2 linked regions of the Oryzias latipes genome follow. The protein of the gene in region 1 purifies or fractionates together with the protein of each later gene. This does not show direct contact. Links are inferred from orthologs where the notes say so. Each region holds a gene or a part of one and is shown in the gene's direction. Other genes may lie near its edges.

Region 1 (6,842 bases):
TCTTAAATTAATAAATGTAAAAAATAATTAAAAAAAGATGGCATCACAATGGGAGAAACCATCAAAAAATGAATGGGGTCAAAAAAAATAAAAATAAAGGACGTGTCTGGGATGTCCAAAGGAAGTTTAAAAACTGTTATAGAATGGCCACAGGACTAACTGTTTGATTTGGAAAAATGTTGGTTTTAATGTTTGTAGATTTTGAACACGAGCATTCCCCTTTTACTCGCACAGTTTTTACCAGAATATTGTGAAAGTTTTATACATGGATTGTCGGTTCTGGCTGAACAAAATGATATTACATACAGAATAAGCATATTAGGAATGTGCTTGACAAAAAAAAAAAAAAAACCTCTGTTGCCAAGGAAATCTGAAAATTTACTTTTGCAGATTCTTTTAGAAATTACTTAAATCAGTTCGTCACCTCCAGGCAGCCAAAACATGAAATGGTTGCTATGGAGATAAACTAACAGAAAAGCCACCATTTTGAAAAAGTTTTTTTTCTTTGTTTTTTCATGAGTTTTTGGCACAGGGTGACGGGGGCAGAATGGGAGAGTAAGGGGTGTGTAGAAGCTGCTCAGCTAGCCAAGGCGGGTAAAATTGGGGGCAGGTATCGCCTGCAGCCCATACAACGCCAATATCGGCTTTAATCTTTTACTAGGGTCCGGAAAATTTCACAACTGACAGTGAAGATTTGCATTGTCTAATAAGCTTTATCCCAAAAAATTCTCTAAATCATCTAAAGCCAGTTAAATGTAGAGAAGCTTAAGAGGTTTTCTAATAACTCCTGTTAAAAAAAAAAAAAATGTAAAAAAAGAACTCCCATCCATCATTTCTCGTGTTACTTTTATCTGCAGGTCCAGGAGTGGCGGGTTACCTAACAGCAGGAACTGGCACCACAGTTTTATCCAGTGTCCCACCCCCTGTGGACAATGACGTTGGAGACCTAGGCTGAGGAAGCGGCGTGCAGTCACGCTCAGACACTCGGACTGCCCCGCAGCCTCACCAACGGACTGTCTGGTCAGCAGAAAAAGGTCGGGGAGAGGGAAAACAGAAGAGCGGGCCCTCACCTTTTGTCACAAAATCTTTCAGACATCAATCTCCCTTCTTTCAAAAGAGAAAAAAAAATTATGCACTCAAGTCTTCATAAACCTTTTGTTTTTTAGTGACCACATTTGTTTTGTTTCTATTAATTTTTTCTTGTTTCTTTCAACAACAGAAAAAGTTTACTTTTGTATGAATATATTTTTTACTCTAGATTTTTTTCTAGGCAAACCAAGGCTTGTTATTTAGGGAATGTTTTTCTTCCTCTGATGCGTTAAACTGAAATTATTCCGACGGGATTTATTTGCCTCCATGGTGTCTGGACCTTTTCACCTCTCACATGACATGTAATTCACAAAACTGTCTTTAAAAATACACCAGTAATGGGGAAAAAAATGACTTTTTCTGTTCGGTTTGCGCAAATGAACAACTCTAGATCAAACCTTCGACCTGCATACGTTTTTGGGATCATTACACGAATCTGCTCCCCTTTATTTTCCAGCCTTCGACTCTTCATCATTGATTCTGTTTTCTTTAGTTTAATCTTCTTCCATGACTCATTTTAAGTAATTCTCCTCCCAGAAAGCAAAAAGCACTAGAATATTTATAAATGGAAAAATAACCACCGGAATGAGCTTCTGCTGACCTGAGTGACTGATTAAGAATATTTGTGAAAGACTAGTGCAATTTGTGAAATGTTCCATGTAATATTGCGTATATAAAATTTCTACATGAATGTACATTTAAAAATAAAAAATCTGTCACACTTGTACATAAAATTTTAAGAATAAAAGGGAACCCACAGTGTTGTTCTTTGTATGTCTATTTCTGTTTGTCTAATAATCAAATCTAGTAATCATACTATTGTCAAATATATATTTTTAATTGCTTAACATTCAGTTAAGATTATCTATATTTTTTATGAAAAGGTATCAATATTTCCACTACCTACTGAGTCTAAGTCTTCTTTACAATTTTAGGGTAATTTGGGTATTTCTGTAACTGATTAAATAAACAATCTTTAATATTATTGTATATTTATTCTTACAGAAGACGTATTTGTAGTCTGAATGACAGTTGGCTTTGATACAGATTTTTACAACAAATGTTTTGATGAATTTCTGTCATATAGGGAAAATGATTGTGTGGGAATGTATGGCCCAAAATAATTATTTGGGGGGGGATAGTGAAAACCAAATTGTAGATAAATTACTATTGACGTCACATGCCGGGCATGACTTTGAAGTTGTACATGCAGACATGTAGCTTTTTTAATTTAATTTTAACCAAATACATTTAGGGTGATTAATGGTATATGTTTCAAACTACTATTTTACTAGGACAGTGAGTTACATATGGACACTCTGACGGATATATATTTTTAAAGTTTTATGCTAAATGCGTGCCGTCCCGGCCAAGAAGAAAGATCTCCGATTCCACTCGGACACATTACGGAGTAACACCGGAAGTTACGCCGAAAGGCGCGAACAATGTAAACAAATAACTGCATTTCATTTGGCTGAGCCTGAGGACTTTTTAAAATTACTATTATTAGAATAAACTTGTATTTTTATGTCAATTTATTTATTCATTTTGGCAAAATAGAATGTTGAACACCAACTTACTTTACTTAAGTATTCTTTCGTTTTTGACAATTTGAATGTTAGCTAACCCGATTGGACGTTTTCTGTAAGCTAGTAGTAGTTTTGATCTAAATGAAAGTATAAACGTAGCGACTCCTTGAATTAAAAAAAAAAAAAAAGCATTGTACGCATTACACCAGACTATTGATTACATGCTGTCTGTATTGCGGCCTAAAGGACTGGTCTAAACGGATTTATAGGTAAGTACTTTCCAGTTTAAATATATTCATGATGATGTACTCCTTCTTGAGTCGTTCCATGGTCTGTAACATTTAGTTATGATGACAAGTTGTATTCTTTTGGCACATTTTAAACGTCTTCCCAATTCGGCGTCTTTTTACAGAATAAAATTCGCTAAATAAAAAAAAAAACTTCAAGTTAAAAGTCTAGCTAGCGTTCAGTGCTAACATTGAATGTTAGCTGACTCTGCCGTCCCATCATGTCCAGCAGTTAAACCTATTTCAGCTGTTATGCTGCACCCAGATTTTAGCAGCTTCCAATCCAAACAAACTCAAATGCTCCCCGGCTGTGTTTATAATTTTAATGATTTTTTTTTAAATCCTTAAATTACTGCTCCATCAAATGTACTTTTTAAATTCATTTTGTTTGATTTTTATTGCATGCTGATATAAACATGGCATCAAAAGTTGGGCACGTAAAGAAGATGTTCTCTAACTTTTATTTTGACTCTTGTGTAGACTCAACATGTCCAAAGTGGAAAAGGAGCGCTTTATTGTGAAGTTTGTGGAGAGTAAAGGATCTAATGCTGAATATGCTGTTAAAGCGTATGAGGTAAACACAACTGCACAGTCCTTTCTGCAGACGTTTTTTTCTGGATGTTCATCGATGTATATTTATTTAGTATTTATTATATAATTTTCATCCTATTCTAACAGGCCATTTTGGAGCTGCAGTCTGAAAAATATTTAAAGAAGGTTAAAGAGGAAGAGGTTTTACAGATGGAAGAGAAGGACAAGTCTCTGTTTGTGTTCAGCAGTTTTACCTCTCCTGCCTTTCTGCACTGCAAGAAGGTTTGTCGCCTTAGTGAAAGCAAAATTCCTGGCAGGATTTTTAGGAATGAACGCTTCGTTGCTCTGTGTTGTGCAGCATGGCTGTAGAATCGTGAGCCCCTTGGTGGTTTTGTACTGCCTGCAGCAGCAACGCTGCGTCCCAAAAGCAGAGAAGCCGGTCTACAACATGGCCATGGCTGATGTCACTATTTCCTGCACCAGCCTGGAAAAAGCCGCACGGGTGAGTTCTGGTCTGTCTTTGAAAAATGCTGAGACTGTTGCACCATTTCATTGCAGTTGTGTTATTTGCATGTATTGCACTGATAATGTTTTGAAAACTAGTTAATTAAATCTGTGCATCATTTCGTTTAATGCAGATTCTTGCATTTTTAGGCACAAATATCTCTGCTGTTAGTTTTTGATATAGAGAATAAAAGAAACAGTTTTTTTTACATGAAACCAGAATAGAAACTTTATAATTAGTTGTTGTTTTTTTAGGTTAAATGAAAACCCAAATGTGACCTCATGAATTGACACTAAATCACTTTTATGCTTTCACGGGCCACATAAAGTGACATGGCGGGCCACATTTGGCCTTCGGGCCTTGAGTTTGTTCATGTTTATGTTTTGTCTCACTCTGCAGGTGGATGTGATGGATCTGGTGCAGCTCATGGGTGGACGTGCCTGCCTTGATCTTAATGTGTCCGTCACACATTTAATTGCTGGGGAGGTTGGAAGCAAAAAGTATCTGGTGGCTGCCAACTTGGGTAAACCCATCCTTCTACCCTCATGGGTCAAAGCCTGCTGGGAAAAATCTCAGAATAGGTATGAACTGATTATTTTTGTTTTACATATTTGCTCCTGGGTGGCGCAGTGGTTAGCGGTCTTGCCTCATGGCAAGAAGACCCCTGGTTCAAGTCCCGGCTGGGGGACCTGAAATGGAACATCAAAAGGGGGTCTTTCTGTGTGAAGTTTACATGTTCTCCCCCGTGCATACGTGGGTTTTCTCTGGGGACTCCGGCTTCCTCCCACCGCCCAAAAACATGAGAGTGAGAGTGAATGGGTGTGTGATTGTGGACAGTCTACCCTGTGACAGACTGGCCAGGGTGTCCTTCCCCCACAAGTGGCCGGGATATGCTCTGGCAGCCCCGTGACTCCGAAAGGGACAAAATGAAAGATGAATGAATGAATCAATGAATATTTGCTCCTTTGTGGTCTTTATTATAAGTGCTAATAGTGTATTGTTATTTTTACTCTTTACACTTCATCACCCTAGTTTCCATAGATTACCGCTGATTCATAAAACTAAGTTTCTGTAGAGTTATATATTTTTTATTCTCTCTTCAGCCTTTTTAGATACACAGACTTGCCTATGGATGAATATCTGTGCCCCGTGCTGCTCGGATGCACCGTTTGTGTGACAGGCCTGTCCAGCACAGAACGCAAAGAGGTGCAGCGCCTCTGTGAACAGCACGGCGCCAAGTACAGCGGCCAGCTTAAAATGAACGAGTGCACGCACCTCATTGTCAGTGAACCAGCAGGTGAGACACTAAAATATAGAACAAAACTGGACTATAATAGGAATACCCGATACGTCCTCATTTTCATGAACATTCACTAACACAGTTACGAACTGTTTCATATTGTAATGAGTTTCTCTTCTTTTGTGTCATATTTTACTGTTACTAATAAAGCTTTGATAAAAAATGTACATTTTTTTACTCTACCACCCATCACTGCTGCTTTACAAGCATATTAGTTTGTGTTTCCATAATATACTGTCATGATGAAAGACGTTTGCTCTCACTACAATCACCTGATAAGTCAAAGCAGATTTAGATTCAAACAAACTTATCAATATCATTTTCATGCAGCTGTCTGCCTGCAATCATGGTGTGCCTGATGCTGTTGTGTAATCCTTTAGGGATGCAACAATTCCCTTTGGTTGAGGCTTCAATTTTTGTGTCACCGTTTTGTTTTTGTTTGATATATGATTTGTGTATTACAAAACGTCAACAACAAAAACAACAAAAACAATATGGAGAATTATTTTTTAAATTTGCTTTTAAGCAAGTAGCAATTAGTGTAATGTAATAAAATAATGTTACATATATTAAGTTTAGCACAACGCATGTGTTTGATGCTTACGGTGTAAACGTATTCAAATGTATCCACTTTGTGTCACCCCTCTTAGAATGAACCTATTAGTTTGTTGTTTTCCTGTAAAACTCTTCCAAAAGTGTAAAAAATCTGGAATTGTAAAGGTGATTGTTTTTAGAAAAAGTTTCTCATTATCAAAAAAAAAAAACAACAACAGCGATTTAGTAATGAAGTTAACACAACTGGTGGTGTTTTTGTTCTGAAGGTTTATGTTTTGTTGCAGGTCAGAAGTACGAGTGTGCTCGCAAATGGAATGTGTATTGCGTATCTCTGCATTGGCTATTTGACAGCATAGAGAAAGGTTTCTGTCAGGATGAGAGCAGGTACGCCGTGGAGCGCCGCGCGTCAAATACCAGCCGACCTCACACCTCAACCCCCACAGGCAACGGCAGGAAGGAAGGCGAGGAACAAAAAGGCTCAGAATTCACCTTTTAGACCTTAAAAAACGAAACATCTTTAACGTGTTGTCTTGTGAAACAACATTTGCCTCCTTTAGATGGTCCTTCGCTTTTGGGCTTGAGCAACATTTCTGTGAGTGGCAGTATGGCGATCAACGACACGGCCCTCACCATCAGCCGCCTGGAAACGGCCGATCCCATAGATGGTTTGGATCTCACCGTTTGTCCTGCTGATGACTTACTGGATGGCTGTAAGGTAAATCACTGACAAATTCCATTTTACTGTCGATGCTTGTTTGAAAGTGAAGTGCAGGATTTGAAGGCAGGACTCTTCTGCGCTCGCTACTTCACAGCTGTATTTGTGCGGCCTTCCACTGAAGAAGCTGGAGAAGCTGCGGCGTCTTGTCAACAATGCAGGAGGTCTACGTTTCAACCAACCAAGCGAGGAACTCACACATGTGGTGATGGGAGAGCCGGACCAGGAACTCACAAAGTTTCTTTCCAAAGCAGCTTACAGGTTTGATAAAATCCCTGAAATTCTGTGTCTAAATATTTAATGTTTTTTTTCCCTTAAACTGACTCTAAGC
Region 2 (6,360 bases), on another chromosome or scaffold:
TCCCAAAGGAGCTAAAATCCTCTGCTTTGATTATTCAAGTAGGCCATAATTCACAGAATTATGAAAACATTGTATTTTTAATTCAATTATTATTCTAACTTCAATTGTTTTTAATTGAATCAGATCTGCAAATCCACTTTTTTATAGTTTTAAAATGTTTTGCTGTCCATCAGGTGAGACACGAGCTGGCTAGCAGAGTGTTCAAATGCTGCAGCTTCATCATCAAGCACGACTTCAAGGTCACCATCTACCTGCTGCCTCACATCCTGCGCTACATGCTGCTGGGCTGCACACCTGCAGAGCAGCAGGAGGTGAGGAAGGATGAAGAGGAGGAACACTCCTCGGGGTTCTAGTTCTTCTTCTCTGATGTGTGTGTGGGCTTTCGTCAGGTAACGGAGGAGATGCTCGCTGTGCTGACAGAAGGTGATGCACAGGAAGGAGGCGGAGCCCAGGAGACGGCCTCCAGCACTCAGACTGTGTTCAGTATGGTATCACACCTGACGCAGTGGAGCCGGCACATCCTGTACTCCAAACCCAAAGGTGATGGTCATTTAGGAGTAACAGCGAGGAAACTGACTGAGATTTAAATGCTCTCTGGAGCTTCAGCACTACAGCAAAAGGGTTCTGTTCCTGCATATTTGCTTCAGTTTGTTGCTCTGACCCTGTTGGTGGAATTTCACTTTTTTAGAAAGTGGGGATTTCCAGAGCGTGGTGGCATTCCTGAAGGGAATTCCACAGGACATTCTGGCCAAGGCCTCCCTGCGATCCAAAGCGTACACCCGGGCTCTCATGCACTTTGAAACTTACATCCTAGAAAACAAGCTAAACATCCAGGACCACCTAAGCTTCCTGCAGGTGAAGTTCATCCTCTGAAGTTCCTTTGGTTTTTAAGGGGGTCAATGGGTCTGAATGTGCGGCTGCTGTTGCAGACGTTGTACGCTGCCATGCACGAGCCCGATGGAGTGCGGGGCGTCAACGCGTTGAGGAGAGAGGAGCCGTCGCTACGGGAACAGATACTGGAGCACGAGAGCATCGGCCTGCTCCGAGACGCGACCGCCTGCTACGACCGAGCCATACAGCTGGAGTCTGACCAGGTACCCGCACTCAAGCCTGATTATTATTCCCGCCATCTGCTGGAGGTGAACCGGAAAACTCCCTTTTCCAGATTGACCATTATCATGGCGTGATGACGTCTATGCTCGGTCTGGGACAACTCTCCACAGTCATCACACAAGTCAACGGAGTTCTAGCCAACAAGTACGACACGAGCACGAAAGCTTTCTGACTGCTTCTGTCTTAGTTATTTGAAGTTGATTCACTTTGCTTAAACCTCTTTAGGAAGCATTGGAAATCGGACTTGAACTCCTACAGAGTGGAGGCAGCCTGGAAGCTCGGAAAGTGGGACCTGCTGGAAGATTATTTAAGTTCAGGTGAAGAAGAAATTTGGTTTCTAGGAAACCCAATTCAACTTCAGACTGGAATCCGTTTTTATAACGAAAATTAGAAACGACAGAATATTTTTTAAGAAAAGATATTTTATTTTAAAGGGCTTATGTCGTGCTTTTCTTAAACCTTTCAGAGTAAATTATATCCATATATATAATAATATATTACCTTTGGCACACAAAAGAACAATCTTTTAATGAAATTTTAGTTATTTTCACAGCTCATTTATCTACCCAGAACTTAGACGACTTAATCTCTGATGCACCACCTTTCTCTCCGTTGGGGTCCTGCCCATTTCATGACGACAAGCCAGAGCGTGTCTGTGTTTTGCCCACGAAAACAAACAACGTCCAAGCTTTTACAAAGATGGATGTGCAAATGGTGCACAAAAGCGTTTTGCCCATCAACGCTAGCTGAGCACTGAGAAAGTGGGTGTGTCTGTTAGCCTGGGGGTGGAGCTGGCGGCGCAGACTCTTCCTGGAAGGGGCTGTTCCCCACTTATTTACGTTACAATGTGAGAACCCGCTCGTTTATCGGAGGTTTTTAGAGGAAAACCCAGAAATGCGTGAATGAATACCACTTTGCGGTTGTTTCGCCATGCGCACACACATTCACACACTGACGGTGGCTCTGCTGCCAAACACTGGCGTCTACCTACAACCACCAGGAGCAAAGTGGGGTTCAGCGTCTTGCCCAAGGACACTTCGACACATGGGCGGGACCGGGCAGGAACAGAACCTGCAATGAAATAGCTTTGCCTAAAGAAAAACTATCTTCATTTTATTTGGGTGGAAAAATTGTGGCCAACATTTTAATAAGATTAAACTGGTGGCATCACACTGCAGCATGAGCTGAAGGATTTTAGGTTGAAAGAGGATTTGAAAAGTATTTTAAGAGATTTGCATTTTTCTTTATATTTACAAGTAACAAGATAGACTTTTGACCCATCTTTAAGATTTGTTTTTCTATTATGTTAGTTCCTTTTTAAAACATCTCTGCACTGAGCTTTGACTGAGTTTGTTTTTCTGTTTTCCACCCGTAGACCAGCAGTCGAGCACTTGGGGAGTGGGGCTTGGCCAGCTGCTGCTCTCCATGCAAAAGCAGGACGCTGAGACTTTCTGTGAGAAGCTGAAGCTGGTGAGGACCAAACAAGTGGTCCCCCTGTCTGCTGCTAGCTATGAGTGTGGGACCTACCAGAGAGGATACGAATACATCGTCCGGTCCGTGCTTAACATCAGCCGCCTGTCACCGTTTTAGCTTTTGATTCCAGCAAAGAAAAATGTCTGTCTGCGTGTTCAGGCTGCACATGCTGAGTGAGCTGGAGCACGCCTTCACTGAGCTGCAGACTGGGGGCTCCACTCCGAGTCTCAGCCAGCTGCCCCCCCACTGGTCAGACCGATTGGAGATGACTCAGAAGTCCTTCAGGGCCAAAGAACCTATCCTGGCTCTCCGTCGCGCCCTGCTCAGCCTGGGACCACAGTAAGACGTTAATAGAAAAAAACATTATTTTATATTTAGGCATAAATTAAACTTAAACACATTGACCTTTTTTAAGGTGGTGTTTAAGTCCTAAAGACCCACTCTGATAAAAGTCATTCTTGGTGTTTTTAACATGTTCTTCTGGCATTTTTCTCATGATTGAGGACATACATATATATATATATATATATATATGTATATCAAAAGTGAGCTTAGAATTGCATTTCTAAATAAAGAGCAGACAAAAAATGCAGTTTAAAAAGGAGCTCCCTGCAAATGCATTCACTTGCAGACGGATAGATCCGTGTACGTCTTCATTTTCCTCGTCTGAGCTGGAATCTGGATCTAAACGGTTCAGCTGAAAGGCTCCAATTTTGCTCGTCGTTTTTTTGCACCGGTAATGTTAGATTTTGGGGGCTGTGATGAGCTGTAAGCTATCTGGAAAGCGTGTAAACAGATGGGGGAACCAAAATCACATGAATATCTAATGACCTACAGTCACTCTGCAGAAACTATGTCCTAGAAGAGGACACCGGTGTTTTGATTTTGGCTAAAAACCTCCATCTTCTTGACCGTTTTTCCCTTTCGGGGTCACGGGGTTGCCGGAGCCTATCCCGGCCACTTGGGCGTAGGCAAGGGATGCCCTGGACTGGTCGCCAGTCTGTCGCAGGGTAGAACATCCTCAATCACACGTCCATTCACTCTCACACTCACACCTATGGTCAATTTAGAGTTGCCAATCAACCTATGAAGCATGTTTTTGGACAGTGGGAGGAAGCCGGAGATCCCGGAGAAAACCCACGCATGCACGGGGAGAACATGCAAACTCCACACAGAAAGGTCCCCCATTGATGTTCTGGTTCAGGTCCCCCAGCCGGGACTTGAACCGGGGGCCTTCTTGCTGTGAGGCAAGAGCACTAACCACTGCGCCACCGTGCAGCCCCTGGCTAAAAAAAGGTTTTTAGCCAGGGGCTGCACGGTGAGGTTTTTTTTTTTTTTTTTTTTTTTTTTTTTTTTTTTTTTTGGCTAAAAACCTCATAATCATAATGCTGGGAATGCTGTTTAAAATAGATGTTTTCTTGATTGACTTAAAAGTCCGGGAAATAATTTTGTGTTCCCCGTGCTTCAGGCCTGTGCGTCAGGAGCTGGTCGGGGAGTGCTGGCTCCAAAGTGCTCGGGTGGCCAGGAAGGCCGGACACCACCAGACGGCTTTCAACGCCCTCCTCAACGCCAACAACACTCACCTGGCTGAGCTGGTCACAGAGAAGGCCAAGTGGCTCTGGTCCAAGGTGCATCCAGCCCATCAACTTATCCACCTACCACTACAAGCTTAGCTCTGTCACCATAGTAACGCTGCACTCATTTATTTGAACTTTTGAACAAAGTTCAAAGGTCCACAAAGGAGCAGAGATGATCTCTAACAAAATCTCTGCATTTTCTTGTGATCAGGGTGATGTCCACCAGGCCTTGATTGTACTGCAGAAGGGCGTGGCACAGTGTTTCCCCGATAATCAGCCCCTGATGGACCCACGCAGCCTTCAAACCAAAGGCAAGGCCATGCTGCTGGTGGGACGCTTCATGGAGGAGACGGCAAACTTCGAGTCTAATGCCATCATGAAGGCCTATAAGGTCATATTGTTTAATATTCTCATCACTCTTTACATTTGTATTTAAACTACTTTTTTTTCTTCTTCAAACTGAAGTGCTTCTCTAAATCTGCTGCATTTTTTCAGGATGTGACAAACCTTCTACCAGAGTGGGAGGATGGGAACTTCTATCTGGCTAAGTACTATGACAAAGTGATGCCAATGGTGACCGATAACAAGCTGGAGAAGCAAGGAAACCTCATCCGATACATCGTTACGTTCTTCGGAAAGTACGTTAGCCTCCTCTATCTAGACGTCACCTTGTGGCTCAAAACTACAGTGACGTCAGCGGTTCCTGGCTAGATCGCGGTCCACCGTTATGAAAGAAGAAAATTGGTTGTAGACCTTGCCAGTCAGTCTCCTTTGTGCCCTGTATGCTATACAGAATGCATTCAGCTCGACAAATTTACATCAATCTTTGTCATTCTATAATACTGGACGTGTTTTCTACAAAGCTTTGAATATTGAGAGTTTAAACAAGAGAGAAAAGTGTGAAAATGTTTCTGTCTGTTAGAGAAAAGTGTGTAATGAGGGGTTTTATCTATATTTATTCTAAAATAAATCACTACTTGCCGGATTTCGCCTATGATGGGCTGTTTGAGAAGATAATTCTTACAATCAACAGGGAAACACTGCAATTCTTTTTTCTTTTTTTGTGGAATCTTTGTACTTTTTAGGGCACTTCAGTTTGGAAACCAGTACATCTACCAGGCCATGCCTCGCATGCTGTCGCTCTGGTTGGATTTTGGAGCCAAAGTGTGTGAATGTGAGAAAAGTGAGTGACCAAAAACCTCCAGCCATCCACCGCCCGACATGACTGAAGCTTCTTCACGCCTCTCATTCACAGCTGGACGCGCAGACAGACAGATGCGACAGGAGCTCAGTAAAATCAACTCCATCGTGTCTGAGCACTGCGCCAACCTGGCTCCATACCAGTTCCTCACCGCCTTCTCCCAGCTCATCTCTAGAGTGTGTCATTCCAGTGATGAGGTCTTTGCTGCTTTAATGAATATCGTAGCCAAAGTCTTCCTGGCATACCCGCAGCAGGCCATGTGGCTGATGGCTGCTGTTTCCAAGGTAACGATGCAGTGTTTTTCCAATCATAACGGGCAGCTACTGTATGTTTCTGTATTGGTTATACTCTTTGTTACATATTTCCAGCTACATTTCCCCTTTTCTTCTATTAGTCCACCAGATTTAGTTAGAATGGAAATTTCACATCTCTTTTTGGTTTGGTCTACCTTCACACTAACCGGATTAAACTGTGTCAAAACATCAGGCTGTTCCAACTGCGTTAGACCAGAAAAAAAAAAAAAAGAAGCTTGTTTTTTTTCATACTAAAACCCACAAGATTACTGACTCTCCTTGCTTTACTTCCCAGAAAAGGTCAAATCTTTTGTTGTTTTCTCACCGTTGCCGTATCGCGCCAGGGTTCACTTGCAAGTGGACCAGAATTCACTTATTTGGCCTGCACCAGACTGTAGATGTGGTTTTATGCCTGATAAACGAAGCGGATAATCTAAGGAAGCAAACTCTGATGCAGACCAGAATGCCAAATATATTATAGTTTAAATAGTGGACAATTTTTTTTTATTTTTACATTTTGAAAGTGCTCGTTTCAGGCAATACAAAATTAAAACTCTTAAGCTACATCATTATGCCTTGAACTAAAAAAGATGAAGTTTTAGATTTGATTTTATTCATTTACTTTCTAGTAAATATAACAATACAGCACACAAACATTTTTTGTGACGATGAAAGGGTAACAGAAAGGGCAAAACTCTCTTCT

What was found.
Region 2: the proteins of topbp1 (region 1) and atr purify together in Homo sapiens (affinity purification with western blotting; 8 studies listed by BioGRID). This does not show direct contact. The link is inferred for Oryzias latipes from reciprocal best matches to the Homo sapiens genes TOPBP1 and ATR.

Annotation. Positions count from the first base shown.
Region 1 is NC_019878.2:21,471,190-21,478,031, reverse strand, and holds the start of topbp1 (DNA topoisomerase 2-binding protein 1), read left to right. Parts: upstream 1-2,470; 5' UTR 2,471-2,536; intron 2,537-2,542; exon of another isoform or gene 2,543-2,887; intron 2,888-3,385; 5' UTR 3,386-3,392; coding exon 3,393-3,479; intron 3,480-3,583; coding exon 3,584-3,718; intron 3,719-3,794; coding exon 3,795-3,938; intron 3,939-4,340; coding exon 4,341-4,522; intron 4,523-5,044; coding exon 5,045-5,238; intron 5,239-6,080; coding exon 6,081-6,257; intron 6,258-6,353; coding exon 6,354-6,511; intron 6,512-6,608; coding exon 6,609-6,772; intron 6,773-6,842. Other genes in the region: dnajc13 (dnaJ homolog subfamily C member 13), read left to right, coding at 858-955. UniProt on the Homo sapiens protein: Scaffold protein that acts as a key protein-protein adapter in DNA replication and DNA repair. Composed of multiple BRCT domains, which specifically recognize and bind phosphorylated proteins, bringing proteins together into functional combinations.
Region 2 is NC_019880.2:5,823,695-5,830,054, reverse strand, and holds part of atr (serine/threonine-protein kinase ATR), read left to right. Parts: intron 1-173; coding exon 174-311; intron 312-389; coding exon 390-540; intron 541-688; coding exon 689-855; intron 856-929; coding exon 930-1,094; intron 1,095-1,165; coding exon 1,166-1,257; intron 1,258-1,338; coding exon 1,339-1,430; intron 1,431-2,488; coding exon 2,489-2,666; intron 2,667-2,745; coding exon 2,746-2,925; intron 2,926-4,054; coding exon 4,055-4,214; intron 4,215-4,374; coding exon 4,375-4,554; intron 4,555-4,658; coding exon 4,659-4,801; intron 4,802-5,248; coding exon 5,249-5,346; intron 5,347-5,418; coding exon 5,419-5,648; intron 5,649-6,360. UniProt on the Homo sapiens protein: Serine/threonine protein kinase which activates checkpoint signaling upon genotoxic stresses such as ionizing radiation (IR), ultraviolet light (UV), or DNA replication stalling, thereby acting as a DNA damage sensor.